Arabidopsis thaliana: one gene and its partners. The protein of the gene in region 2 purifies or fractionates together with the protein of the main gene of each other region. This does not show direct contact. Each region holds a gene or a part of one and is shown on either strand. Other genes may lie near its edges. The genes, in order: IMD2, AT3G02860 and IMD3.

Region 1 (9,935 bases), on a different chromosome or scaffold from region 2:
TAATTAAAAATATTATGGTAAAAGTATTTTTGTTTAGTGGAATAATTAAAAGATACTGCTGTCAATTTCGATGAGACAGTAAAATCTTTCACATTTATTATGCACATCTGTGCTTCACAGTGCAAAGACAAAGTTTGTACCTTTTGTTTTCAATAGAGAGAGGTAGACAAACACTCTTAAATCTTGATTTAAAAGTTTTATAATCTTCCCTTTATTTTGCAGACATCTGATTGGTATTATCAACCTTTGAATAAAATAAGTGACATGGTCATGGAAGAACAAGGAAATAATTATAGAACTTTGATCCTAATAATACTATGCATCTGAGAATATTTTCATCTTATGCAAAGCCACGATTATTGCTGTCGCAAATGTCATGAGTTTACATAAATCCATACAGTAACAAATTTTCTCGTGTATCTGACAACTTGCATAATACGGTATAAGTTGGGCCTTGACAAAGACATAGGCCCATTAAATCAAACGGCAAATCGTGTTCTGTAGACTCCAAACGATTTGACTTGGTCGAATTGACATCCGTTTTGATTACGTAAGGCGCGCGCGTGATCTCTTCATGGACTTATGCTGGCGTCAATAGACACACAGTTTGTCTGATTACAATTTCGCTTAGGGTACACACTTCTTCAACTAATTACCAAATATTAAAGGAATCATATAAAAGCTACTATTAAAGGAGTATGTTTATCTGCTAAAATAAAGGATTTAAAATTAAAGGTTTCAAACGTAAATATGTGGTTTTAGTAGACAGACAATCATAACATTTGACAGAAATTTCTATAGAACAAAATACGTTTGGTATTAAGAAAGATGGTGAAAGTTATATATTACCGACACAAGATCTAAAAATGTCAGCCCAGTTGAACTCTAACTGATCAAACAAGTACTACTACTTGCGTTTTGACGTGGCAATATCAATATTTAAAAATCTTTAGAATGACGACTTGATAAGATTAGCTCATGGATTAGAAAGACATCAGTCAATTAATTATTATGACGCTATATTTATAAAACGCACCATTAAATTAAAGAGTAACAACATTACATCATCCATGACTGTTTATATACAACTGCTATGACGTCATTTTAAACTTGATCATCACTGAGGCATTAGTAATTTTTCTGTCCCAAAGATCGAACATTTACACTTACTTACACATGAGTAAAATTGTACATAGGAAGCAAATCATACGATCTCAATACATCCATGACAAATCTTGCTTAAACGAGACAGACGTTGCAGCACCATGAACACCTCTTCTTGAAACCTGAGGACAATCTTCAACAACAAGCAACTCCAACTTGTGAGATCCAACAAGTGGTCTCATTCCATCGTCTGTCACTCCCAGACATTTTGATAACTTCAACACATTGAGAGAAGGAAACTGGCTCACCAGAATCAACCCCTCATCGCTCACTTCTTGGCAATGGACAAGCTCTAAGATCTCAAGTTTCTGAGCTGAACATAGAGCCTCCATCCCCATGTCGTTGAATACACACACATGGTCAAGAGAAAGCTCGCGTACTGGGCATTTCTGGATCAGAGTGATTATCCCCTGGAGTGTGAAAGAGAAGAGGGAAGGGAATTCACCGTCTGAGAAAGATATCTTGAAAGATTCGAGCTTTGAGCAGTGTTGAGCTATGGCGCTGAGGCTTTCATCGGTTAATCTTAACGTGATGTTGTTTAAGAGAGGCAGAGTAAAATCGGACGGGACACGGAGCGAGATGCTTCTTAGGTGACTAGCTTTCTGAACCAATGCTATGATGTCTGAGTCGCTGACACCGGTACACATGTCCAGATGAAGCTTCTCCAGGTTCTTGCAATTTCTCAGCACACAAGCGAGCCCTCTACCAGGAGCTATGATGCAGTTACCGAGGCTGAGCTCCACCAGACTGTCACAGGGAACCAACTGTTTGGGCCACCGTTCCACATCTAACTGGTCGTAAACCTTCATGTACCTGTAATTGGCATCTACCTCAAACTGCAGACTTGTCAGCTTTCGCCAGCTATTCCTCAGCTTGATCAAATCACCTTCCCCAATGGCTCTGCAGTTCTTGATACAGAGTTCTTCTAAAGTCTCAAGCTTTCCGAAATACTCCAACCACTCTACACTTGCAACGTTTAGGCATCGAATGAGATGAAGTCTCCTGAGTTTCTTGCATCCTACAGCAAGTGACAACACACCACAACCAGTGATCCTGGGAGCGAAATTTAACTTCAACGAAGAAAGCTCTGGACACGACGACAAATGGCCTATGCCAACATCGGTGATGAAGGTGCAGAAGCTCAGAGTGAGATCAGTGAGAGAATGACAGTTTGTGGTCAGGACAAGAAGGCCTTGATCGTCAACTTGTTTGCCAAGTTTTGACATCCAGCCTGAGTATATAATCTCCACTTTGGAAAGATTTGGAAACCTCCTGCAGAGAGAAAGCAATGCATCGGATGCAGGAACTAAACCGCAACCAATCCGCAGAGAGTATCTTTGCTCGTTGTCCAGCGAGAAGAAACGTTTGCATGAGAGTGAAAGCGAGTTTCTGTCATCGGTAGTATGAAGCTTACTGAGAATGTCCCAAACCAAATGGTCTGGCAATTCATCCATTTGTCTATCTGTGTGAACAAAAAAGGATCAAAGCCTAACATGTCAAGTGAAAAGTCCACCTTGAAAACACAAAACAGAGCTTTGATGGAACTCAGAGATTATGCAGAAAAACGAAGGCGTTTGACTTTTTACTTACCACCACCAAGATACGCAATCCCAATGAACATTCAAAAAGCCATGAAAATTTCCAGAAACAAAATTGATAAGATAGAAATAAAAAACAGAGGAAAAACTCATCAGAGATGTCTAAATTGTGAATTAGTTCCCAAGCAGAGATTTAGATTTCTTGAACATAATAATGAATAATCAAGAAATAACAAAAATTCACATCCTTGATTCATCGATTAAACTCAGCTCTAAAAGTAGGCTTGCCATGAAACAGAAATCAGAGGAAAAAGATCTCACCGGAAAGAGCGAAAACTCTTGCGACGTTTGACCACACTCGGCGCCGGATAAGGACTACGGGGGAGATTGAATCTTTTTTGTCTCTCTAATTTTTGGCTTTTTGAGTGATACTCTGACACGTCATTATCTCCACAAGGATATTTATTTCTCAGAAAAAAACATCAACGTTTCAGTTCGATCAAATAAGTCCCTCTAATAATCTCACATTATAAAAATCGCTAATAAAACCGAGACTCTTTGAGTACAAGGTACAACATTTGTTGTTGGAAATGAACTCTTCAAAGTTTCTACAAATATTAAACAGAAGCTGGAACTTGGGAGTCCACTGACTTCAGAACCTCCTCTCCCATCTCCTTGCAGCCCACCAGTTTCTGATCATACCCCATACAAAAAGACAAAAAAATATTACTACTGTTTGTTGTTGCCTGCTTGTTTAAACGTTTCTCAAACACTAACTCGGGACGTTTTTAAGGAAAAGGAAACATGTTATAAGAGTGGTTCAAGAAACATACTGTTCCCGCGGAGTATATGTCTCCAGTTCTGAATCCGTTGTTCAGAGCAACCAACACTGCGTCTTCAATTCTCTTGGCTGCCTTTTCTTCTCCAAGTCCGTATTTCAGAAGCATTGCAGCGCTTAGAATGGTTGCCAATGGGTTTGCCTTATCCTGAAAATTCAAAGAATCAACAAGTTGTGCTCTTTGATTTTGGCATTAAACTAGTTTTGATATCAGGGAACAAAAACCGTGTTTGTTTGAAGGATAGAGTTAGAACCTGTCCAGCAATATCAGGTGCAGAACCATGTATAGGTTCAAAGAGTCCAGGTCCCTGTATTACACATGGCGGGTTTATGTTCAGACTAGATCATACTGCTTGCATACTAAAAGATCATATTATTTTATATCATACCGAATCACTGAGACTAGCAGATGGCAGCATTCCTATGCTTCCTGTGATCATTGAAGCTTCATCGGATAATATATCACCAAAAATGTTGTTTGTGACGATGGTGTCAAACTGCATTTATCAAACAATCAAATAATTGCAAGGATTTACACCTGTCGCACATCAAAGCTGACTAGTTTGGCAAATACAAAGTACACGTACCTGTTTTGGGTCACGAACAAGCTGCATCGCGGCATTGTCAACATACATATGTGACAGCTCAACATCAGGATATTCAGAGGCTAATGCTGTTACTCGTTTCCTCCATAAGATTGAGGCCTGCATATAAAAAAATTCAGTGTTATGTTCGTTCCACAGGAAACAAGAGAGAGGAAAACAAGTCAAAGAAAACATAATTATCAACCGCACTTCCAAAACATTAGCTTTGTCAACAGAACACAGCTTGCCACGCCGTTTCCGAGCAGTCTCGAAGGCAACACGAGCAATTCTATCAATCTGACGAACATACAAAATGCTTTATTAGATTTGACCCTAGTACTTAACAATCAGTCCACGGAAATCTGCATCTGAGATTTTCAATAGAGTACCTCGTGAGCAGCATAAACCTCAGTATTAAACCCAACTTCCTCGCCATTTTCATTGGTCTTTATGCCCCTTGGCTCTCCAAAGTAAATACCTGTTACCATGAGACATGACATTTTATAAGATATTGTCACACGAGAAAGACAAGAATTACGATCAATTTTTAATAAGTAATAAAACTGACCTCCTGTAAGCTCCCTTACAACCATTAGATCAACACCTTCTGCTACCTCTCTCTTTAAGGTGGAAGCATCCACTAACTGTATAAAAACAACAAAATTAGAGTTTCACACAAGAAACAAAGTTCAGGCAACCAAGAAATCTCTGAGGATGGTCACCTGTGGGAGGACTGTAGCAGGTCTCAGATTTGCAAAGACTTTGAGAGCTGCACGAATCTGAAGTAACCCCTTCTCAGGCCTCAGATGTTTTTCATTGTTATCCCATTTGTACCTTAAGTTATTATTATACCAACATGAGAAAATGACTAAATGAGAAACTGTATTTCCCAAAACAATAATTAAGAGCCAACAAGATTAGTGGGAAAAGAGAGAAGACAGACCCTCCAATGGCTCCAAGAAGCACTGCATCTGATTCTTTTGCAGCTGAGATAGTCTCCTCCGGCAAGGGCACTCCGACCAAATCCAAAGCAGCTCCTCCAATGGGCATCTCACGGAAGTTAAATTCCACTCCTGATACAGAGCACAGACGCAATGTATTAGGCAATCTCCGTGGCCTTTGAGCCCAACCCACGATTGTAAATCCCATTCAAAATCTCGCCAATTTCTAATGCTCACATCTTTCAATTCCAAGCAGAAAACAGTAGTCCCCAATTGAAATGAAACAGCAACTAAATTAAATAAGAAAGGGAACAAGAGAGAGAGAGAGAACCTTCCAAAGATCCAGCTTGCTGAAGCACATTTTTGGCAATGGAGACAACCTCCGGACCGATGCCGTCTCCGGGAAGGAGAGTGATGGTGTATCGTTTTTTACCAGGGGAAGCAACAGCACATCTTACTCTAAAGGGTGCCAATGACTGTTTACTTACAGCTCTGAACGTAGCCGGAACCTTGACCGTCCGGATATTCGTCTGCAGAGCCGCCGCCATTTCAGGGAGAAAGGATTGATTGGTCTTTTTCGGATTTTGAAACCGCAAGTCAAATGGATACTACTAGTACACTCAGACTTTACTTCTTTGCATTTATGGGTCCTTTTTTGCACATTGTTTTATTTTCAGAATTGACCCCAAAGTTTTTAATTTTGTAAATGGACACCTTACATTACCACATACAACATATATATATATATATATATATATATATATATATCCATTTATTAGCAGCACCTCACAGAAGAAGGAGGGCTCATCAAATACTTGAAGAGCCGCACGAAGCTGCAACAAGGCCGTTATCGGCTTCAAATGCTTGGGATTGTTATCCCATTTCGGCCTTCAATTCAAAAATCCAAACTTTAGATGAATCCAAACTTGAGATGAACGAAAGTTATGGTAATAATACCATACCATCCAACAGCTCCGAGAAGAAGAGCGTCTGATTGCTTTGCCCTGATCAATGTTTCCTTAGGCAGTGGAACTCCGACAAGATCTAAAGCAACACCTCCTATAGGCAACTCCTCGAAGCTAAAATCTATCCCTGATATCCAAAAACACGATTTCAGTTGGGAAAATCAAATTAAATTAGGCAACAGGATGAGAAAGAAGGAACCTTCAAGAGACCCAGCTAAACAAAGAACGTCAACAGCGACTGGGATCACTTCGTTACCGACGCCATCGCCGGGAAGAACCGCGATGGTGTACCGTTTCTTTGGAGTGTTGGCGGCACATCTGATCACAGAAGCTCTCCTAAAGCTCTGTTTGGTTGCGGACATAAACGCAACCGGAATCTGGGTACTGCTGACGTGGATGACTCCCGCCATTTACTACAACAAAGACTACAAGGAGACCTGGAAAGAACTTTTGTGTTTATAATCAAACCAATATTAACCGTTCGATTATTTATTTTCACCTCTGGATGGCTCAATTATGATGGGCCTAAGAAAGATTCGTAGAAGATAGATCGGCCCAAATGTTCCAAATATTAACACAAGTCCAGCGGGCTTTGGGCCCATAAATGGTATTCGGGTCAGATTTTAAAATGGGTATTCGGGTCAAAATTCGCCCGTTAGATGATGAACCCTAATTTCGTGTGTACAGGGAGCGGAGAGGGGAAACAAGAGAATGCTCTTGTTGCGGCGACTCAATCGAGTTCGGATTGCTTCCCCTTACTCCGTTCGGCTTCTGTCAGTAAAACCTATTTCAAATGTCGATGATGCGAAGTTTCGATCTCAGGAAGAAGAAGATCAGTCCAGTTACGATCAGAAAACAGTATGCGAAGCTCTCACATGTTACAGCAACGATTGGCAAAAGGCGTTGGAGTTTTTCAACTGGGTCGAGAGAGAATCCGGATTCAGACATACCACCGAGACATTCAATCGGGTGATCGATATTCTGGGTAAGTATTTCGAGTTTGAAATTTCTTGGGCTTTGATTAACCGCATGATCGGAAACACGGAATCTGTGCCGAATCACGTCACGTTTCGTATAGTCTTTAAGCGTTATGTGACGGCTCATCTTGTTCAGGAGGCTATTGATGCGTATGATAAATTGGATGATTTCAATTTGAGAGATGAAACATCATTTTATAATCTGGTCGATGCGCTTTGCGAGCATAAACATGTGGTTGAAGCTGAAGAGCTTTGTTTTGGGAAGAATGTCATTGGTAATGGTTTTAGTGTGAGTAATACTAAGATTCATAATCTGATTCTTCGTGGGTGGTCGAAATTGGGATGGTGGGGTAAATGCAAGGAGTATTGGAAGAAGATGGATACTGAAGGTGTTACTAAGGATCTTTTTTCGTATTCCATTTACATGGATATCATGTGCAAGAGCGGGAAACCGTGGAAAGCTGTGAAGTTGTATAAGGAAATGAAGAGTAGAAGGATGAAACTCGATGTGGTTGCTTATAACACTGTGATTCGAGCCATTGGAGCGTCGCAAGGTGTTGAATTCGGTATCAGGGTATTTCGGGAGATGAGGGAAAGAGGTTGTGAACCTAATGTTGCGACTCATAACACAATCATTAAGCTTCTATGTGAAGACGGGAGGATGAGAGACGCGTATCGGATGCTTGATGAGATGCCTAAGAGAGGTTGTCAACCCGATTCGATTACTTACATGTGTCTCTTTTCCCGTTTGGAGAAACCGAGTGAGATCCTAAGTCTGTTTGGTAGGATGATAAGGAGTGGAGTGAGGCCAAAGATGGATACTTATGTGATGCTAATGAGGAAGTTTGAGAGATGGGGATTTCTTCAGCCGGTATTATATGTGTGGAAGACAATGAAAGAGTCTGGGGATACTCCTGATTCAGCGGCGTATAATGCTGTGATTGATGCGTTGATTCAGAAAGGAATGTTGGATATGGCTAGGGAATATGAGGAGGAAATGATCGAAAGAGGGCTATCTCCAAGGAGAAGGCCTGAGTTGGTAGAAAAGTCCTTGGACGAAACGCTTGTCTGTAGAGAATAGATAACTAGATATGAAGAAACTCTTTGGTTATGTGTTCAAAACAGACATGAAGCAATAGAGAAGCGTCCTTTTGGATGGAGAAATCTCCCCAAGGTATATCATCTTTGCCATAAAGTGGCTTTGTTTCAACTCAAAACCGAGGAGAAAACACTGAGGTTCATTGAGAAATCTGGTTGAGTTGTGTGTCTTAAGCCAAATTCCGAAGATTTGGTTTTGAAAGATGGTTTGTCGCCTCCTATATGTGTTCTACTACATATACGTACCATTTGTAATTCACTCTCTAACTTAATTTTTTTTTGTTGTTGTTCCACTCTGTGACAACCACAGGCATTTTGTGGCTATTTTGTAAGATCGTTAAGCTCAATAAAACACCCTACAGAAACGATGGATGATCCATCATGGATCACATTCTTAAAACCATTGGAGAATATGGCGTTATTATTGTAATTTGAAAAAAATTCAACTAAAGAATACGACTTTTAATCTTAGCTTACTTTTGTAAAGATTATGCAGACATGACGTAACAATTTTCTAAAAAAAATCTTAGTTACAACATTTTTCTTTAGAAAATGCCATGACAGAGCAAAAGCAGGAAAAGTTGGTACCAGATGATCATAAATGCAATTTTCCGTTACAAAATTAGAGTAGCTCTCATGTCAGTATTGGTGGTAATTAATGCCATTCTCCGTTTCTTTTTCTAATCTCCGAGTCGACCCTGAGTATAAAGTATTTTTACCAATTTCATTTCAATTTTATTGTATAATCGGTTTTATAGAAAAAAATGTGATTCATTAATTTAAGTTTTAGGTCACACAGCCAATAAGAGTTAAAAGAGTAATTAATTAAGGATTTTAAAAACTAAGAAAATGAGGTGAAAACTTAAAACAAAACAGAATAACAACAATGGATGGTGAAAATCTAAATAAAGGGAACAGTTTCGTTTCATCTTCTTTGTCCTTGATTTCCTGAAGAAGTAAAAGATTCTTATTCATACGTTTGATTGATAAACCCTTTTTTAGAGTTTCAGAAATTAGAAACCAAACCTCCCCCAAAAAAACAAAAAAAGAGAGAGAATTAGACAAGAAAAATAGGGAGAATAATGGTTAATAGCGAAACGCCGTCATATCATAGTCGCCGGCGTCTCCTCCTGATCACCGTTGGGCTTCTGATCACGTCGAGTTTGGTTTCTTTTTCTCATGCAGTTTCGTCTTCTTGTCATCATCGTCCATCCTCTACCTCATTTCAAGGTAAAAGTTTTGTTTCTTTTAAACCAGAGAAACCCCTTTTTTCTTTTGGATACAATTATACAAATTTGATTAAAAAATGGCTTCTGATAAAAATTTAAGAAAATGATTTTAGGAGTGAGGAGGCAAATTTTGGAAGGAGGGAATGGGACCAGATTGGTGTTAGCGGCGGAGAGGACACAGCGACCTGACCCTCTCAACCATTTCAATATTTATGTCGATGGTTGGAACGTTACCAACTCTCATTACATCGCCGTGAGTCTGTCTTTTTTAATTGATTTCAATATTCTAAATGTCAAAAATAAATTCTTTCCGTCAAACCTATATTTTCTTGAGGCATTTAGACGATTAAATCAGTTTTTGGGTAAAACATTATCTGACCACAACAAAGATATAGAATTGTATTTATTTTGGAAACGATTACACTTAAGTGGACGTTTAGACAATTAAACCAGAGTAAACTAATTAGTAGTAGTATGATGCTTTGGGGTAGATAATGTAGCAATTGATTTAGTTAAGGGCGAAAATTAAACTACAGAAAAACGTGATTTTAAAATAAAAAAAAAATAAATGTGATGTTCTTTGTAGCAAAATTTCGAAAAT
Region 2 (9,710 bases):
GAATACGATGATGATGAAGGAGAAGGAGTTGGATCACCGATCCATTTTTAATATTTATATAGTACGTAATTTACACACGTTTTTGGAAACTCTTTTAATCGTTTTTAAATACGTATACGCCTCTAATGTGAAATTCATAATTTATGGTTGTAATGTGAAGAAAATAATGAAATACCAAAGATAAAATATGAAAATGATACAATGTAGTATATTTACGGTATAAAAGGAATATTTACTTGAAATGAATTAGTACGTTTAATACACGATTTTACCATTTATGTTAATGAAAATTAACACTTTTAAAATAAAACATGGCATGAATTAGAGTTGTGAGAATCACATGTAGGCCTTTAAGGTTCTTAAATTTTTAATTCCTTATAACATAGGCCCATGTATTTGATTGACATATAGGCCATTGGGTTCTTCGACTTTTAAATTACTTATAACAAAGGCCCACCTATTTGAAGCGCATTGTTAAACATTTTGTTTATATTTTGATTATGATCGAAAATTCTCTAGAACAATTCGTACAAAAGAAGCTGTTTACGAAAGTAGCTGTACATGCGAACATAATCAATAAAAATGTAAATGACTAATGAAACATCAGAATATCCGTACAAAATTGTGACTTTATATTATTTAGTTATAGGTACAAAGTTGTGGAGAGTAAAAAAATAAAAAAGGTAAAAAGTTGTGGAATAGACCTATGAAACAATCACAAACATACAACCAAAATGCAAATTGTAATTACGCAACAGAGGCTTTCTTTTCAAGGAAGTCAAGTGTAAGATTTGCAAATGCCCCAATTATTATTTGAGAGAAAAAGGGATATTGCTAATCACAATTAACGGTCACATTACAATTCCCTTTTTTCTCTGTTATTTCCTCTTCTTTCACAATTAAGTTCTTAACGGTCACATAAATATTTTGTTTTTTATATAATGAGTTTAATTAAGTTGAAGAATCAACTGATAAGGTTGATGATCCGATCCTCAAAAGTATACTAACCACAACACTGTCTACGTTCATGTTAGTACCTACTTCAAAGTCCATGTACGTTGGGACTGGCTGTATCTTCCGCCGAGAGCAGCAGAGAGCGTCATCGCTGTCTTGGAACGAGAGAAAGGTCGAGACTATCTCTAAGGCAACCAAAAGCTTAGCTATGATGAAGACATCTTTCTCTCTCTCTTTGCCTATGAATGGAGAATACAACAAATAATATAAAGTGATGGACATTTCTATGCTTTGCTTCTCTTCTCCAAAGAGAAATAGATGAAAAAGATTGTTGATTTTCGTTTCTCTCGAAGAAGAAGAAAGAAGAAGAAGGTGAATAGAGACTTTTGATTTCTCAAGAATGAACAAGTAGATTGTAGAGTGTTAGTGTTTAGTTCTGTTCTTAGGTTGCAGAGATTGTGTATGTGTGGCGTTTGATGTCTCGTGTTGGAGAGGTGGTCTCGTTTAGAGTGTTAGTGTTTAGTTCTGTTCTTCTGTTGATCTGTGTTTTTTTTAAATGTAAATTACACAAGTATGCAAAACAAATCTCTTCTCAGAAAGGGGCTACTGTTATATCATGAGATTTATAAGACAAAATGTAAAATATCGGAAAAATAAAACAACATAATTTTGGTGTTGAATGAGTTTTTCTTGTCCACACAACGGCAGAAGCAGTAGACGATTGTTCCTTTGTCTCTTGATCACAAACCGATTTCAAAGTGTTCTTCGCATTTTTCTCATCAATGTAAGTGAACCAGCCAGAGAAAGACAAGTATGCACCAATATCATTCCGGCCCCATATTCAGAATAAATTAGAACATCTTTTTCCTTCCGTGTTATGCACTTGTTCTAAAAAAAAAGAATTCCGGCCCATATTCAGAATAAGGAGTCCAGTCCAATAGTCTCAAGTCCAAACCCGACTCGGGTCTGTCCGACCCGGAAAAGAGAACTGATTACAGAATGCGGGTTTTGTCAAGAGAAAGTTGGATGATAAAATTGAGGTGAAATCTAATCTTCAAATGATCATTGGTTAGCTTTTTGTATAACGGATTTTCTGAAATCCTCTTATTTCCCATATCGGACCGTGATTATTGGGTGATTTCGGATGCCTAATTGGGTAATTAATATAATACAGTATAAGATTAGATGCCTCGAATATTCGCTCTGTGCCTAACCACAAAAACCGTAACTTTTGGTTTTCTCTGAAACACATCCCAAAGTAAAGAAAGCATCACTCTTTTCGTCTTCTCTCGAAAATGGCGGACAATGGTAAAGTCACGATCAATCTCTGCAAACCTTATTTGATTTCCCTGTTTCCTCATTTTCTTTCGGGCGACATTGATTTGACGCAGATTCTCTAGATCAGTTTTTGGCTGCCGCCATTGATGCCGCTAAAAAAGCTGGACAGGTCTATCTTTCGATCTCCTTGAGTTTTGATCGATATTTTGGCTAATCGTTATTTAATCTGGCTCCTTTTGGTTTGCGTTCTGCAGATCATTCGTAAAGGGTTTTACGAGACTAAACATGTTGAACACAAAGGCCAGGTTTTTGTTTCTTTCCTCCGCTCAGATAATGTTTCAATCACTCAATAAGTGGGAATGGCTACTTAAGAGTGTCAATTTTTTTTTTGAAATTATCTTCTATGGCTCCTTAAATTGTTGCTTTTAGGTGGATTTGGTGACAGAGACTGATAAAGGATGTGAAGAACTTGTGTTTAATCATCTCAAGCAGCTCTTTCCCAATCACAAGGTGGTGATTATTTCTTCTTTTGAATTCCCATTTTGTTGGCTTCTTCCTCGCGTTGATCATTAGAGTTTTGCTATAATTTATTAGTTCATAGGAGAAGAAACTACAGCTGCATTTGGTGTGACAGAACTAACTGACGAACCAACTTGGATTGTTGATCCTCTTGATGGAACAACCAATTTCGTTCACGGGTATTATCATTATTGATCAATTCCCATTTGAATGACCTGTGTGTTTCATTTGCCCATTTCATCAAAAACAAAAACAAATGCTGTTTTTTTTTTGTAGGTTCCCTTTCGTGTGTGTTTCCATTGGACTTACGATTGGAAAAGTCCCTGTTGTTGGAGTTGTTTATAATCCTATTATGGAAGAGGTAAAAGATTGTGTATTCCATTGTTTCAAGTTTCTTCGATCGTTACAACTTACCATTATACATAGTTTCCTTGATGGTGCTCTGTACATGCATGTTTCAAGATTTTTCTCAATTCTTACATAATATCTAATGATCAAACAGCTATTCACCGGTGTCCAAGGGAAAGGAGCATTCTTGAATGGAAAGCGAATCAAAGGTTAGCACTTGTTCTAGAGACCTAATAAAAAATTTCTTGATCTCTTTTTATGGCATCCGGAGTATAGCTATCACTTGTTCAGAGACTTGAGTTCTCTTCCTTCTTTTCAACTCAAACAATGTTCTTTTTGCAGTGTCAGCTCAAAGCGAACTTTTAACCGCTTTGCTCGTGACAGAGGTAAAAATCTGGCTCCTTTGTGTTAGACTACTAAAACTAGATTGCTATGAAGCCTCCTCTCATCGCTAATGTGACCAATTGAATATAGGCGGGTACTAAACGAGATAAAGCTACATTAGACGATACAACCAACAGAATCAACAGTTTGCTAACCAAGGTAAAAGTTTATCGATAGATATTTGGAACTCCACCAATTTGGTTCTAGTCTCTGCCAAAACTCATGATTGTTGTGTCCTTCATTCATCAGGTCAGGTCCCTTAGGATGAGTGGTTCGTGTGCACTGGACCTCTGTGGCGTTGCGTGTGGAAGGGTTGATATCTTCTACGAGCTCGGTTTCGGTGGTCCATGGTAAATTGTCTTCTTTTTTTTTTCCTTGCTTGGATTAAAAAAGGGGATTTCTTTCTTGTACAAACAAAATTAGATCCTGATGATGGCATAATAATATCAAATCTTTCACAGGGACATTGCAGCAGGAATTGTTATCGTGAAAGAAGCTGGTGGACTCATCTTTGATCCGTAAGAGTTTGAGATTAAACCAAACACACTCACTCTCAAACCGTCCAACTGATTATAACTAACTGTTTTATGTCGTCTTTGTTCATCAGATCCGGTAAAGATTTGGACATAACATCGCAGAGGATCGCGGCTTCAAACGCTTCTCTCAAGGAGTTATTCGCTGAGGCGTTGCGGCTTACAGGGGCATGAAGTCATCTGTTATTATTTTACAATATGGTCTCAACCTTATATGATCAAACTCAATTCAAAAACTTAACATTATTGAATATTTCTTTTCGGTAGAAAGAAAACAAACTCAATTGTTGAGAAAAAAAAAAAACTATTTTCTTTCTGCTACCCTTTGTGAATTCAATTAAAAAAAAATCATATGTTTGGTATTGAATGATATAATTCTGTTCTTCCATGTAGTTGATCTTTGTAATCGAGTTTGCATTTTTTTTTTTTTTATAAAAGGTGGAGTTTAAGGTATTTTGTGATCCATACTAAATTAACAACAGAGGAAAATGGGGATAATGAGTCCGGCCCAGTTACGACTAACGACCCAGAAGCATCCCGAAAGTCTCAAGTCTAATCCCGAGTTGGATCGACCCGACCCGTAAAAGAGAAGAGATTGCGGAGAAGAACGGAGGGAGGAATTTTGATTCTCACGGTGACTGTTGTCCTCCTCTAAGGACTTAGGGTTTGATTTGAATAGAACAAATTTCTCAGATCTTCGTATTCCTTGCGAGGTTGTGATAATTTGGGAGTTGCGTGGGTTGCTACGAAGGAGAGTGATGGATGCTCAAGCGAAGAAGAAGGCCATGTTCCGGTCTAAACTCAACGCCAAGAAGAAAGACACCCGCATAGATTCTCCTCTCGTTAGGTAAACCGTTGTTAGCTTCTTCTTCTCTTCGTTTCGATGTCACTTCTGGGTTTCTACAATTCCAAATATTTGTGGGTTCTGGGGATTGGGCTTGAGCTGTAGTTGGGATGAAGAGTTTGTTCTTTGGATTTGTAGGTACAACGAATCAGACCAGCCTGTGTGTCGAGTTTGCAATGTCGTCTTGAAATCTGAATCACTCTGGGATGTACATCAAGCTTCTCGTAAGCACCACGAGGTAAACTTAGTGTCTTCTGCTCCATAAGCTTTACTTCACAATCTCTTATAACCTGAGTAACAACAATGGGATATTTGATAAATTACATACATTGAAGATAGGTAGATTTCATGCTCTTATATGATTTTATGCGTTAGATTCTCTGTTTTATGTTCTTTAATCTTATTAACTTAGCTTTCGTAATGTAACGTTTGGACAGGCCATTGATAGTCTCAAGGCTAGTGCAGCGGGAGTCCAACGGGGTAGCAAACCTGCTGAAACTCGGCCAACGAAAATTGAAGCTTTGGCTAAATCATCCAATTCTCAGACATCATCTGGTCTTCCGCCAAATTTCTTCGAAAATCGTGAGCCTGCTAGAGGTAATGACTAATGCACTTTCCTCTTCTTGTTCTTATCTTTTTCGAATAATTTTCTTAGTAGAAGGCTTTTGGTTTAGGTGCTAGTTATGTGGATGCCATGCTTAAAGGCTCTAGTCTTAGGTTTTTTGAAAGATTGATGATAGTTTCATTCGTCAATCGAAAAAAAAAACTTATTGATCAAATATATGTGCAGCAGAAGTAGAACCAGCAAAATCCAAGAATTTAGAGCAATCAAAGCACACTATAGGATCTGAAACAAATAAGTCAAAGGGACCTCTTCCAGCCGGATTCTTTGATAATCAGAAAACTGATTCTTCAAATACCAAAACCACCAGTGAACCTAAACAGAGTCAGACACAGACCACTGGTCCAGAAACAAAACCAATGGTGAATGGAAACCTTCCAACCGGTTTTTTTGATAATAAAGAAGCTGACCTGCTTGCCCATGGAATCAAGCTCGTCAAACCAGATATCAAGTGAGTTTCTTCTCTTTTTTTTTTTGTTGCTTTTACTTTTCCAGATGCAGAAAATCAAAGTGAAACCTCATTGTTGTGGACCTTGTGATCCAGTTACTTTCCTACATTCTCAATTTGAATGGTTCATATGATCTTATGGGTTTGTACCTAAGAATTCTCTTCGTGAACTTATATAAACATGGATCTTCTTACAGGGATGAATATAAAGAATTTGAGAAGTTGATACAAGATGATTTGCAGGTAGTGGATAGCCGCATGGAAGAAGAAGAGGTCAGATAACTTTCTGTCACTATGATAAATTGCTGACAGTATCATAAGCTCTTTCTTAAACTTAAAATCGCTTTTCTCGCACTCTAATTGTCAGGTTGATGCTGCGGAAACTATAGAAGAGGAGGAACAACGAGAGCAAAGGTAATTTGATTCATTACTTTGTTATAGCAAGAAGATGGAAATGTTGAGACTTGTTTAAGATTAAGTAAACACTTGGCTTCTCCTTTTAATCTTATTCTGCAGATCATACAAAGAGAAAGTAGAGATTCTGAAGAGGAAGAAAATGGAACTTAAAGCGGCAAGATTAGCGAAGCGCAGTAAAACCTCTGAGGGGTCTGTTAAAAAGCCGAAGAAGACAGAAGAAGAATCGCCCAGCGATGAGGAGGATGACGAGGATTCTGCTGTTGATTGGAGAGCTCAACATCTTTGAATAAACTAGAAAAGACTGTTTAAAAATCTGTACCCTGGTAAAACATACAATGTTCTATGAGAATATACAGTGAAAACTAATCAATCTCATATATATACAATTATCAGTTTCAGAGGATCAATTGGTATTTGAGGTATAGTTATCGGTTAATGGGTATAATTCAAGAACGTAATTTTCATAACCAGAGTTGCCAAAAAGGCCGAAATATCTGGGGATGAAACCTGAAACTGTGGCAGTTCCGACCAGTTTCAGGTGATAAACTAAAAAAAAAAAAGTGATTATGACTGGTGGTCGTATCATTCTAGTTTTGAGTGAGAATGTTTCAGATATTGATCATTTGGTGGCACAAAACATAATGACGAAAGTGGTAAATTTAACAATCATCTTTAAAGTTAAAACTCTTATTATTGTTAAACAAATACATGTGGAATAATAAATAATTGAGACAATTCCAGAAACCAATTAGGGGTCAAATATGTCGAGAAACTAATTAGGGGTCAAGTATTGAAGAAGGAAGAAGACCACTAACTAAACATATTCATATTTTTTTGTGAATTTTTGGACTATTTGTGATTACCAACCATATGCTTATATAACTTATAAAAAAAATGCATTAGGCTTTCCACTATAAACCATTGACATTTGAAATATTTAAATCAAGATATATGCATAACCAAAAAAAAAAGGGTTATGTTATCTTGTTTATAACTTGAAAAGGAGTCCACAAAACAAAGAGAGAGAGAACAGCCAAAGCAAAGGTCGGTTAATGCACAATCGATGATATAACAAATATCCCATTAGAACATAAAATTAGTTAACTAATTACTTCTGACCTAACTGAATGCACTCAATCTCCTATAATACCTTAACATTATCTAGCTTGACTAATCATATAAATTGTCACGTGAATTTTCTAATGGTAAAGTGTTTCACAACGGGAATCAAAGTTTAGGGACATTTCAGTTTAGAGTCTATCCATCATAACACTTGTATCCCAACTTGGTTTTTCCAAATTTGTTTTAGATAAAATACCATTTTTCGAATTCATCGTCTTCATGTGAATTTTAGGAAAAAAAGAGTGACAAAACACACACACGCACACACACATCGGCTTCGACCTACATAACCAAACGATATCTTGTAAAATACCACACACAATCACAAGTGTTTAATCTTATGATCTCTAATCTCTTATGCATGTTTAAACGTGATAAAGGAGAAATCGTTTAGCATTAGAAAGAAAGAAACATTTACGAATAAAATGATCGAAAAAGTGACTTCCTCGAACTTTATCACATCACGATACCTTATCACATGTACGTAACACGTAATGACTTATTGTTTATCTTGTGGTTATAAAAGACTCTCTTATCATTTATATGGTGCTCTTCATAGGTCATTCTAAAAATAAACCCATATCTCACTGGTTCACCTTATTTTTTAAAACATATTATTATTCTTTTACACTACGTTATCTTTTATTATGACCATAAAAATATTAATATAGCATGGGCTTTTTGAATCACAATTTGAACTTTTAATGTAAAAAATAAACAACAGCACTAACAAAAAAAAACCGAAAATTTGTGTATAAATTTCGCCGATTCCATGGTGTTGTTCATCGAATTAACTTGAGTTGCTATTTTTTTCTCTATCTGATAAGTTTCGAAATTTGAAAACACAGGCGCCAATTTTAGGCATATAACTGAAAATCACAAAAAGGAAATAAGAGAGAAAGAGAGAGAAAGAGAAAGAGAGAGAAAAACAGAGAGGTTGTCTTCTTCGTCAAATATCCGATTATCTGGTATCGTGATTCGGAGGTGTAATGGGAGGTAGTAGCGGCGGCGGAGTTTCTTATCGTAGCGGCGGCGAATCAGACGTGGAATTAGAGGATTACGAGGTTGATGATTTCAGAGATGGGATTGTAGAATCGCGAGGAAACAGATTCAATCCTCTCACCAATTTCTTAGGGTTAGACTTCGCCGGCGGTAGCGGTGGAAAGTTCACCGTCATTAATGGAATCAGAGATATCTCCAGAGGCTCCATTGTTCATCCCGATAACCGGTACACCATAAATTCTCGTCACGCTTTTGAATTTTGTTTTCTGAGTCCTTTAACTTTTAATAGTTTCATAAGTAGGCCTTATGTTTTATTTTGTATTATTCTAGTCCACTTACTTTGTTATATGGATTTTAGGGTAGGTATTGATTAATTTCTTTTTTTCTTTATACTGAGACTAAATCTTATAGAAATCAATCTTCCTATATATTTTGAAGCTACGTACTACTTTTATTAGAGAAATTTTGAAGGAAATTTGTTAGCTTAACAACTTTCGGGGTCAATTGTAGTGCAAACAAAAACATTAGGGGCTTGATTGTGGATTTAACCTTCCTTTTTAGTGTAATAACATTTTCTTCGGTTATTCATTCATTTCCCGCCACTTTATGACACGTATCAGTTTCTCAATGGTTACAAATGATCGTTGGTTAAAAATGTAACAACCATGAGTCTGTACACGTCAGACCAGATTAAAGAAGAAAACTCTGTTTCGCTGAAGTTTGGAGCAATAATAGAAGTAGACTAAGTAGTGAGTTTAGTTTAGCTACTAAATACTCTGTCCGGATCTAAAGATTCTTGAATTTGCAGGTGGTACAAGGCGTGGACGATGTTTATATTGATATGGGCACTTTATTCTTCCTTCTTCACTCCATTGGAATTCGGATTCTTCAGGGGATTACCAGAGAATCTGTTCATCCTCGATATCGCTGGCCAAATCGCTTTCTTAGTAGATATTGTCTTGACATTCTTCGTTGCTTATCGTGATAGCCGAACTTATAGAATGATCTATAAACGCAGCTCAATTGCTTTACGGTATTCAAACTCTACTCTGTTTCTGTTTTCTTGCTATCTACTCAATGAGATTAACCTCTTCATGGTGTTTGTCAATTTTGTAGGTACTTAAAATCAACTTTTATAATTGACTTACTTGCTTGCATGCCATGGGATATCATCTACAAGGTATACACTTTTTACTCTTTTGATTTTGCGGGAAACGGAGAATTTGAAACTGTGAATTT
Region 3 (9,788 bases), on a different chromosome or scaffold from region 2:
TCAGTCCTGTGGTTCGGACAGCAACAATTCGTCTTGTTCTTGATGTCTCAACATCAAAAGGTTGGCCTATTAAGCAGCTTGATGTCTCCAATGCCTTCTTACACGGTGAGCTGCAAGAACCGGTCTTCATGTACCAACCCTCAGGTTTTATTGATCCTCAGAAACCCACTCATGTCTGTCGTCTCACGAAAGCCATCTACGGTTTGAAACAAGCGCCACGGGCATGGTTTGATACTTTCAGCAACTTTCTTCTTGATTATGGATTTGTCTGCAGTAAATCGGACCCCTCATTATTTGTGTGTCATCAAGATGGAAAAATACTCTATTTACTGTTATATGTTGACGACATTTTGTTGACTGGCAGTGATCAATCTCTCTTAGAAGATCTTCTACAAGCTCTCAAGAATCGGTTTTCTATGAAGGATCTTGGTCCACCTCGCTATTTCTTGGGTATTCAAATTGAAGATTATGCTAATGGTCTCTTTCTACATCAGACGGCTTATGCGACAGACATTTTACAACAGGCAGGAATGAGTGATTGCAACCCCATGCCAACTCCTCTACCACAACAATTGGACAACCTCAATTCTGAGCTATTTGCAGAACCAACCTATTTTCGAAGCCTTGCGGGAAAACTGCAGTATCTTACCATCACACGTCCAGACATTCAGTTTGCTGTCAATTTTATTTGTCAGAGAATGCACTCCCCTACAACCTCTGACTTCGGACTGCTCAAACGGATACTACGGTACATCAAAGGGACAATTGGAATGGGTTTGCCAATAAAAAGGAACTCTACTCTTACTCTTTCTGCCTACAGTGATAGCGATCATGCGGGCTGCAAGAATACTAGAAGGTCTACTACTGGATTCTGCATCTTGTTAGGCTCCAACTTGATCTCTTGGTCGGCAAAACGACAACCTACAGTGTCTAATTCCTCTACCGCAGCAGAATACAGAGCTCTAACCTATGCAGCACGAGAAATTACTTGGATCTCTTTCTTACTGCGAGATCTCGGCATTCCCCAATATCTTCCTACACAAGTTTACTGTGATAACCTCTCCGCAGTGTACCTATCTGCAAATCCGGCTCTCCACAATCGTTCAAAACATTTTGATACCGATTATCACTACATCAGGGAGCAGGTCGCACTCGGTCTGATCGAAACACAACACATTTCAGCTACCTTTCAATTAGCTGACGTGTTTACAAAGTCACTTCCACGCCGAGCATTTGTTGATCTCAGGAGCAAACTTGGTGTGTCTGGTTCACCCACTCCAAGTTTGAGGGGGAGTGTGAGCAACAAACAAGTAACCGGCCCAACAACAACAAAAGGCCCATCTCAGCCCAGTCAAATAGAAGAAGACAAAATAGACTCCAGCTCAAAACAGAGCAACGATCGTACAGAGGAGGGGCGTTTTGCCTGATGACTCACCATAGCCAGCTACACAGCATCTGCCATATTCTAGACTGTTCCATATCTAGCTCCTTCTACAATGTCTATAAAAGAGTAGTGTAAAACCCTAATGTAATTATTGAGAAAGAAACGATTTTTTTACCAAAAGCTTGAAACTTTCTCTAATCGTTTCAGCAATGAGTGAATAATGAGATTATTATAAAAGAGATACAACTTGAGTAAATGAGTAAAATGATTATGAGTCCAAAAGAAAATGGAAAAAAGAGAAGGAAAGAATAAGCTTGGCACTTGAAGAAAATTTATGTCATTTAATTGCTCTGTTTGATTCTCAGATTCTTTATTCACATTAAGACCAACAAGTTGTGGATATATGCTTTCCCTCTCGTTGGCCGTTGAAGCATTTTTATTAACTTTGTCCCTCCAACGAAAGAAAAGTCAGGATTTTGTGTAAATTACTTATTTTTCCTTCTTCTGTCACAATCTTACTTTGAATTTTTGACATGAGAAAATAAATACTCTACATAAAGCTCATTTCGAGAGATATGGTTTTGTTATTTCTCTACTGTAAAAAAGGCAAATCAAGAAATGTCTTCACAAAAGAGTTCGCATCATAAGGCAGACTCCAAAATGGAACAAGATGTGAGTTTCTTTTCTTTGCTATTGAAGATAATTTGCAACATCTTTTTAAATGAAATCACCAAACTTTGATTAAAAATGTTTTATCTTGCTTTTGTATTTTCCTTGTTAAATTCTGCAGAACAATAGAAAAGCATGGATTTCACAACCGAGTGGTCTTAACTTTGTTTGGGGAGGTGACTCGAGATATTGGGTTATCCCTAAAGAACCAAGGTATCATCCGATTCATTCCGACTTAACCGATAAACCCAACTTTGGTTTACTGATACCAAAAATCTTAAACTGATTCATTTGATTGTTGGTTTTAGGATGCCTGCTGAGCTGAAGATGGTGAGTTGGTTAGAAGTAACCGGTTCATTCGACAAGATTGAACCCGGGAAAACATATCGAATCGGTTTTAAAATCTCGTTTAAACCGGATGCGACCGGTTGGGACAAAGCCCCTGTTTTCATGTCTGCTAAAATCGGGAAGAAAGGCAAGACAGTGTGGAAAAGAATCAAATCCGTTAGCCAGAACTTTGGTATACTGAAAGGTGGATCAGAACCCGTCAATATACCTGACGAGTCCGATGGCCTGTTTGAAATCTTGGTTAGTCCCACAGCGCTTAACCAAGATACTAAGCTTCAGTTTGGTCTGTATGAGGTGTGGACTGGACGATGGAAGACAGGTCTGTTGATCCACGAAGCCTTTGTTCAAGAAGTGTAAGGGGGAATATGATCATTATTGATTTTCATAATCCGAACGCAAATCTTATACCTCGTTTCAGTTCAAATATAAGAGCTTTAGATCATAACAATGTAATCTTATATACCTTTCTTGAACAAGTCTTAAAGCTCTGTATGATAATCTTCCGGTTTGAACCATAACGAGAAATCGATTCCTTTCGACTTCAAATTCTCAGTTGCGGGTGCAATTCTTTCCAGAAGCTACACCGATTAAACAAAAAATATGTGAGACCTGATCTCTAAGCACAACAGATTAAAAGCATTGATAAAAGTATGAACAGTTCATGAAACCTTGGGGTGAAGAACGCCGTTGGAGACCAAAACAGACCTATCAAACACAGAAAACTTCCCTCCGTCCATCCGAGTCACAGCTCCTCCAGCTTCCTCAACTATCTGTGTCCATTTTCTGACATGGATTAAGCTCTACAACTTAAGTACTTTAGTAAGAAAAAAACAACAAGAAGGATGAAGAAGACTACAAGAACACCAGCAGCCATGTCCCATGGCTTTAAACGGTACTCCCAATATGATTCCGCAATCCCAAGTGCAACATGACACATGTCAACTGCAGCAGCACCGAGTCTTCGCACTCCCCGACTCACATCAGTAAACTCTTTGAACAGTTCCATGTTAGTGCTCCATGCATCATCATGTTCATAACCAAACCCTGTGATAAGAAGTGCTCTCTCCACCTTCATTCAAACCCGAATAAATATCTAATAAACCAAAACCATTGAACACACCATGTCGAAACTTAAAATTGGATTCTTGATAAGTTACTTACAGCATCGGTCTTACTGACATGAATTTTTTGCCCGTTACACAATGCTCCACCACCTAAGAAGTGAACTAGTTAGACAAAATTTAGATATATAGCCAAACATAAGCTTGTCACATAGTACCTGCAGTTGCAGAAAAGGTTCGAGTGTTCCAGCACATCGGACCACCGACAAACTCTACCTGCATGATGAGATTTTGTTGTTAATCCTACTGACCAAAGAATCAGCAAATAGGAACTAACAAGCATTAGCTGGTTTGTGCAAGTATATATTGGATTTACCACAGAAGCAGCGGCGGGATTTCCACGATACAGAACACCGACGGAAACAGCAAAACTGGGATATCCATGAGCAAAATTTGTAGTTCCATCTATGCATAAAGGAATTAAGAGACTAATACTAAAAATCTCAGAGATTCCACACAAACACATGAAAAGAAAGCAATGAGATTTGTAAAGAGAGCTAAACCTAGAGGATCAATGCACCAGAGGTAATCAGAAGACGAATCGCCGATGATACCTCCTTCTTCACCAAGAATAAGATGATCACTAAAATTCTTCTTCACTACTTCCAAAATAGCAGCCTCGCTTGCTTTATCAGTACTGCAAATTCATCAAAAGTACTAAAACTTTAATAGCTTCAACCAATCAAGTCAACATGAACATAGTTAAAACCTCAAGCTAACAATTTTAAAAGGTGAAGAAGTCCTTACTCAGTTACTAAGTCACTGAGACCTTTATAAGTAATATTCCTTGGCTTATTTACAGCTTCCATAACCACCTAACAAACCAGATGATTCAATTCAAGTTAGTTTTGTTATTATTCTCCTTGTGCAGTTGTGCCCTACGAACCCAAGAACTTGATTCTAGTACCATTGAACACAATTTCAAGTCTCATCAAGAGTTTTTGTTTCCAATAAACATAAATTCAGATATTGTATTCTACAGACATGAAATTTCGAACCTCAGCGCCGGTTTTAGCGGCGAGTTCAACGACTTCAAGGAGGTGTGCCGGAGATATAGTTCCGGTGGTTTTAGCGCCGATTCTGGGATATCGCGTCTGATCAGAAACCTCAGACAGAACAGCTTTGGTTTGAAGTCTCGTTGTGGACTTGAAGCTATTAGACAAAATCCTCGTACACCGATATCGGAAAGTTCTGTTCACTGTCCGGCCTGAAATTGGGTTTTGCAGCGGAAGAGATGATCTGGGTAAGTGAGAGATTCTCAATGACATGTTTCCAGAGAATATTAGAGACCTTCCCATTGTTGGTGTCGCCGGAGAATTTTCGAATTTTTGTTGTTGTTCGGTTTTTGGTTTATATGAACGCGGCCAAGTGAACGGATGGTGGACATGAGAGAGTCCAAAAAGCTGATAGAACTTAAAATTGAAATTAATGAGAACATTGAACCAAAATCAGGTTAACAAATAACCAGAGATAACCGGTCTCTGTAGTATACTCAAATGGTTAGTTTTTGCCGATGGTGGTGCCCTAAACTCGAAAAAAAGATGGCGGCGTTTTTGCAAACTAACATCCGTCTGGAGATCATACCGGGAAGATACAGTTCTCTCACCGATCATAAGTTTCGTGCGCCGTATCGAATTAGGTGCGCCGCCGCTTCACCGGTGAAAAAACGGTATAACATCACTCTGCTTCCCGGCGATGGTATCGGTCCAGAAGTTATATCTGTTGCTAAGAATGTGCTTCAGAAAGCTGGATTTCTCCAAGGACTAGAGTTTGATTTCCAGGAGATGCCTTTCGGCGGAGCAGCTTTGGATTTGGTCGGAGTTCCATTGCCGGAGGAAACTTCCACTGCTGCTAAACAGTCTGATGCCATTCTTCTTGGAGCTATCGGAGGGTATGTGTAATGCGTGTGTGTGTTGTTTCTTCAGCAAATTTATTCTCTTTATGATGATTTTTTGTTCAGGTACAAATGGGACAAGAATGAGAAACATCTGAGACCTGAGATGGGTCTGCTTAACATTCGAAGAGATCTCAATGTCTTTGCTAATTTGAGACCTGCTACAGTTTTACCACAGGTATTGATTTGCTTATCACTTTGCTTTCTAGTTGTAAATATACTCAAATTTTTCTGTTTTTGCTTGTTCAGCTAGTTGATGCTTCCACACTGAAGAAAGAAGTAGCACAAGGTGTTGATATGATGATTGTAAGGGAGCTCACTGGAGGTATTTACTTTGGAGAGCCAAGAGGCATTACGATCAACGAAAATGGCGAAGAAGTCGGTTTTAATACAGAGATCTACGCTGCTCACGAGGTACTACTTACTCTTCACAATCTGCTGCTCTGTGACAATGTATGTGTATTAATGCATTGCTTTATCTTCTTCAGATTGACAGAATTGCTCGTGTTGCATTCGAGACTGCTAGGAAAAGGCGTGGCAAGCTGTGTTCTGTTGACAAAGCCAATGTCTTGGATGTATGTTTTGAATTGTTTTTCCACTCCACTCTTGTGTGTTTTTCGTTATACAATTATTTTTTTGTTTTGTTTCGTATAGGCATCAATATTGTGGAGGAAAAGAGTAACAGCTTTAGCCTCTGAATATCCAGATGTTGAACTATCACATATGTATGTCGATAATGCTGCGATGCAGCTTGTCCGTGACCCGAAACAGGTGATCTTCGCGCATATATAAAGCTTAGCCGTTGATTAAGCTAACACAGAAGTGGAACTTGTAGTACTCACGGCATTTTTAAAAACATTATTGCAGTTTGACACAATCGTCACCAATAACATTTTTGGTGATATATTGTCTGATGAAGCTTCAATGATCACTGGTAGCATTGGGATGCTTCCATCTGCAAGTCTTGGTGAATCGGTAAGTAAGACTAAATCTAATATTTCAAGGTTCCTCTGTTTATTATTATCATATATTGATTGTTAAACTTGTGATGAAAACTAGGGACCTGGACTCTTTGAACCTATACATGGTTCAGCACCAGATATAGCTGGACAAGACAAGGCAAACCCATTGGCCACCATTCTCAGTGCGGCGATGCTTCTCAAGTATGGACTTGGAGAAGAAAAGGCTGCAAAGATGATTGAAGACGCGGTCGTGGATGCTCTGAACAAAGGTTTCAGAACCGGAGACATCTACTCCCCCGGAAATGTATGTGTATGATGATTTCTGTCTTTTGTTTTGTATAAGTTAATGACAATATACTTAAAGAAGTCTTTTTGTGTTTTGAAAATGCAGAAACTGGTGGGATGCAAGGAAATGGGTGAGGAGGTTCTCAAATCAGTGGACTCCAAAGTTCCTGTTTAAGAAAAGTGTGTAGCCCTTGGTTTTACTGTTACTTTTTTGCTAATACATGTATTAGAAACTGTATTCTTGTAGCTTTTATAATAATAAAATATTTGGGATCGATTCTGCAATTCAAAGACAAAATTCTCCAAGAACATTTGACAAGTCTCCTGCCTCAGTACCTTGTTCTTGAAGATTGAGAAGTTCTCGCCAACTACAAAACTCAACATCTTCTTCAATCAATATTTGTTAAACGAATAAAGTTTCAAGAGAGACAAGAAACTATGTTTTTTAGCCGCTAGAGTATTACATTTTTCTACTGAAAAACCAAACTTATAAAACATAACATTTATAAATCCGAAAACAACTATCAATCATCAGGTTAGCCTTTGGATTCACGACGACTTATCAGATTTGCGTTCAGCGTCTGCGGCAGACTGCATTTGAGCTGCATATGGTAAGTTCCAGAGAACATCTTTAAAGGAAGTCTTGCAGAAGGTTCAAGCAAAACACATTTATTGGCGATTGAGATGGCAATTGGGTAAAGACTCCTGCGAGCTTGTTGTTAGGACCGTTGGACTTCCTATTTTCTGTCGACAGTCTTGGCTCCCAAATGACGTCTGCAAATACAACATTGCAGCAACAGCTATTAACAATGATGAAGATTTGCTTCTTTTCTTTACCCTATATGATACCATTTCGTTGAGAAGATAGGCCTCTCCTTTTTGTAGTAGGTACTGGTCCTATCAGAGATTCCAGAAGTATGAATCCAAAGTTGTACACATCGCCCTCTGTTTTAGCCATTTTCCTGCATAATTCCAAAGCTAAGAAACGTGATGAATCGAAATCGTCTGTGGCTTCCTTTAACTCTTCAAAAGAAAATGACCGGAATGAGGGCACACCTTGTGCACCTAGCTTTGCTGCTTGAGAGATTAACCCTGCAAGACGAAGTCGTACAAGGATATTAAATTCCTGAAAGACAATTGCCACCAGGCGGAGGTCTACAATTTGAGTCAAAGTTACTCACTTGCACTAGCAAGAACTTCGGAGGAGAGACTGGTGTGTGAGTTATCTCTGTCACAACCTTAAGCCGAGTTTGAGGCACTGACCTTTCTCTTGAACAACAGCAAGAGCAGCGGTTTATACACACAAGAACAAATACATCTCCACCAAGGACAGCAACCAAAATCCCAATCTTTCTTCCTTGGAACTGTTTTCCCTCAGTTTCAGCCTCTTCGATTACGAATTCTTGATGCTGATCATGACTGCCAATAATGGAAAAGAAACGGGGAGGGGTCCCAATTAATCTGTTATTCGACAAATCCAAGTTTGCCTCCACAGGTCAGATTATGCTGTAGCTTCCCACTGAGCTTGTTAGATGCAAAGTCTAAGTAACTAATGTTTGGCAAAGAGAACAAGAACCGAGATGAAGTTCCAGTCAGATGATTGAACGTCAAGTCAAGATGCTGAAGCTGAGACAAACAACCAAAACTTCTGGTAGTAACCAATAGACCTGAGGCTGTTGATTGATCACACTCGAAACCTCATTGAATCTAACATCTTACACAAAAACAGAAACAGCCTTATTTCTGAATCCAACAACAGCTGCCAAAACTTGAAAGTAGCTAACAAAAGGAAATGATTCCACCACAATGGCTCCTGCTTCAGTTCAGAGCAGCTTATAGAAATCTGAATAACGGATTCTTGATTACACAATTCATTATACCAAAACCATATAAAGGATTACTACAGATTCAACAAAAATTCACAACCTTCCTTAAATCATTCTTCTGCCATTTGATGATGAACATATTCAAATTCCCAGAAATATCCATCCTTACTATCTCCAACAGATGCAGAAAAAAGAATCAGAATTTTAAAACCCTAATTTTACCAATTACGTAGCTCACAAGATCCAAAATAACCTTTCGCCGACAACAACAACAAAACCACCGTATCTAACGCTGCTCAAACTCTCGCTGATGGCGAGAGAGACAGAGAGAAAGTGAAAGCTGAGCGTATTCGCACTGTTTACGCTTAAGGCTTGTTCCGCCGCTAGAGCAAAGAGACCTCACCGCCTCTGATTCCTCCGGACAAGCCTCCGCCACCACGCACTCCGCAAACGCCTTGTTCAAATGTCTGCAACCGGATCTCCTTGCCGGTCCTTCCGGCATCCGACGGTGGCACTGCAACAACGCTTCCTCCAACCGATCGCAAGATTTCATCGGAATCTCTCTGATTTTTCCGGTGTGAATCCGTCTCATCTCACGATGTAACTCACTAGTTGGGTTTGGGCTTTTGTTTTGTAAGCCCATATTTATCTCTTTGTTAATAGAGTCAAACCCACTTTTTTAACACACATTATATCATTATATAAAAACAAAATAATTAAACAAATTCAAAATATCAAATTAAATTTATTAAAAAATTAATGCTAAATTTAAAATTGAATATGTTATAAATACTGGAAATTTTGAACAAAAAATTCAACTAGCAAAATATACATAAATGAGCAAAACATAAGAAAAATATATGCAAAACATAAGAAATAATGACAACCGGTAGAAAATGTAGTTTAAAATTTGAGACACTAAAATTAAAAGAGATGATTCTTAATTTCCAATTAAAAAAAATAAAAATAAGTGATTTGCTTAGACAATGATGTTATTTGATCTGATATTGTCTGCGTAGAATGTTTTCTTTACAATAACAAATTCAGAGTGACGCTTACAATACAACTTGATGCTACAATCTTTAGTGTTTTGGTTTTATACAAACTAGTAGCAGTATTTACAGAGGTCTCATTTCTCATGTCCTCGTCTCTGAAGGCAACCAACCAGAAATCACGACATATAGATAAGTAAATTAAAAGTAAGGTAACTATTTTCCTAATACATTTTTTGTTTTTGTTTTTTACGTCATGTATTATTTTATCTATTTGACACATGTCCGGTTCTATCACTTACTCAAA

The links.
Region 1: the proteins of AT3G02860 (region 2) and IMD2 fractionate together in Arabidopsis thaliana (co-fractionation; one large-scale study listed by BioGRID). This does not show direct contact.
Region 3: the proteins of AT3G02860 (region 2) and IMD3 fractionate together in Arabidopsis thaliana (co-fractionation; one large-scale study listed by BioGRID). This does not show direct contact.

The regions. Positions count from the first base shown.
Region 1 is NC_003070.9:30,283,511-30,293,445, reverse strand, and holds IMD2 (isopropylmalate dehydrogenase 2), read right to left. Parts: upstream 5,684-9,935; 5' UTR 5,614-5,683; coding exon 5,397-5,613; intron 5,198-5,396; coding exon 5,068-5,197; intron 4,959-5,067; coding exon 4,847-4,958; intron 4,769-4,846; coding exon 4,693-4,768; intron 4,603-4,692; coding exon 4,514-4,602; intron 4,422-4,513; coding exon 4,335-4,421; intron 4,245-4,334; coding exon 4,128-4,244; intron 4,038-4,127; coding exon 3,930-4,037; intron 3,849-3,929; coding exon 3,795-3,848; intron 3,689-3,794; coding exon 3,536-3,688; intron 3,395-3,535; coding exon 3,320-3,394; 3' UTR 3,147-3,319; downstream 1-3,146. Other genes in the region: AT1G80570 (RNI-like superfamily protein), read right to left, coding at 1,215-2,626, 2,755-2,785; AT1G80555 (Isocitrate/isopropylmalate dehydrogenase family protein), read right to left, coding at 5,707-5,953, 6,028-6,157, 6,230-6,440; AT1G80550 (Pentatricopeptide repeat (PPR) superfamily protein), read left to right, coding at 6,742-8,088; AT1G80540 (envelope glycoprotein B), read left to right, coding at 9,188-9,335, 9,448-9,587. UniProt on the Arabidopsis thaliana protein: Involved in leucine biosynthesis; catalyzes the oxidative decarboxylation step in leucine biosynthesis (primary metabolism). Catalyzes the oxidation of 3-carboxy-2-hydroxy-4-methylpentanoate (3-isopropylmalate, 3-IPM) to 3-carboxy-4-methyl-2-oxopentanoate.
Region 2 is NC_003074.8:622,222-631,931, reverse strand, and holds AT3G02860 (zinc ion binding protein), read left to right. Parts: upstream 1-4,564; 5' UTR 4,565-4,774; coding exon 4,775-4,863; intron 4,864-4,998; coding exon 4,999-5,098; intron 5,099-5,297; coding exon 5,298-5,457; intron 5,458-5,650; coding exon 5,651-5,933; intron 5,934-6,127; coding exon 6,128-6,203; intron 6,204-6,297; coding exon 6,298-6,344; intron 6,345-6,446; coding exon 6,447-6,633; 3' UTR 6,634-6,769; downstream 6,770-9,710. Other genes in the region: VTC4 (Inositol monophosphatase family protein), read left to right, coding at 2,250-2,262, 2,346-2,401, 2,487-2,537, 2,662-2,742, 2,827-2,930, 3,028-3,112, 3,254-3,308, 3,442-3,485 and 4 more; SKOR (STELAR K+ outward rectifier), read left to right, coding at 8,459-8,697, 9,280-9,504, 9,588-9,651. UniProt on the Arabidopsis thaliana protein: Essential for breaking seed dormancy before seed germination. Prevents reactive oxygen species (ROS) accumulation in response to abscisic acid (ABA) and oxidative stress, probably by repressing the accumulation of ABA-induced ROS-scavenging enzymes (e.g.
Region 3 is NC_003070.9:11,139,893-11,149,680, reverse strand, and holds IMD3 (isopropylmalate dehydrogenase 3), read left to right. Parts: upstream 1-4,963; 5' UTR 4,964-5,018; coding exon 5,019-5,413; intron 5,414-5,482; coding exon 5,483-5,594; intron 5,595-5,665; coding exon 5,666-5,830; intron 5,831-5,904; coding exon 5,905-5,991; intron 5,992-6,070; coding exon 6,071-6,187; intron 6,188-6,283; coding exon 6,284-6,391; intron 6,392-6,475; coding exon 6,476-6,682; intron 6,683-6,769; coding exon 6,770-6,838; 3' UTR 6,839-7,220; downstream 7,221-9,788. Other genes in the region: PP2-A9 (phloem protein 2-A9), read left to right, coding at 2,363-2,758; IMPL1 (myo-inositol monophosphatase like 1), read right to left, coding at 2,881-2,979, 3,070-3,171, 3,258-3,470, 3,563-3,615, 3,681-3,738, 3,839-3,927, 4,026-4,159, 4,270-4,337 and 1 more; AT1G31175 (cytochrome C oxidase biogenesis Cmc1-like protein), read right to left, coding at 8,776-9,132.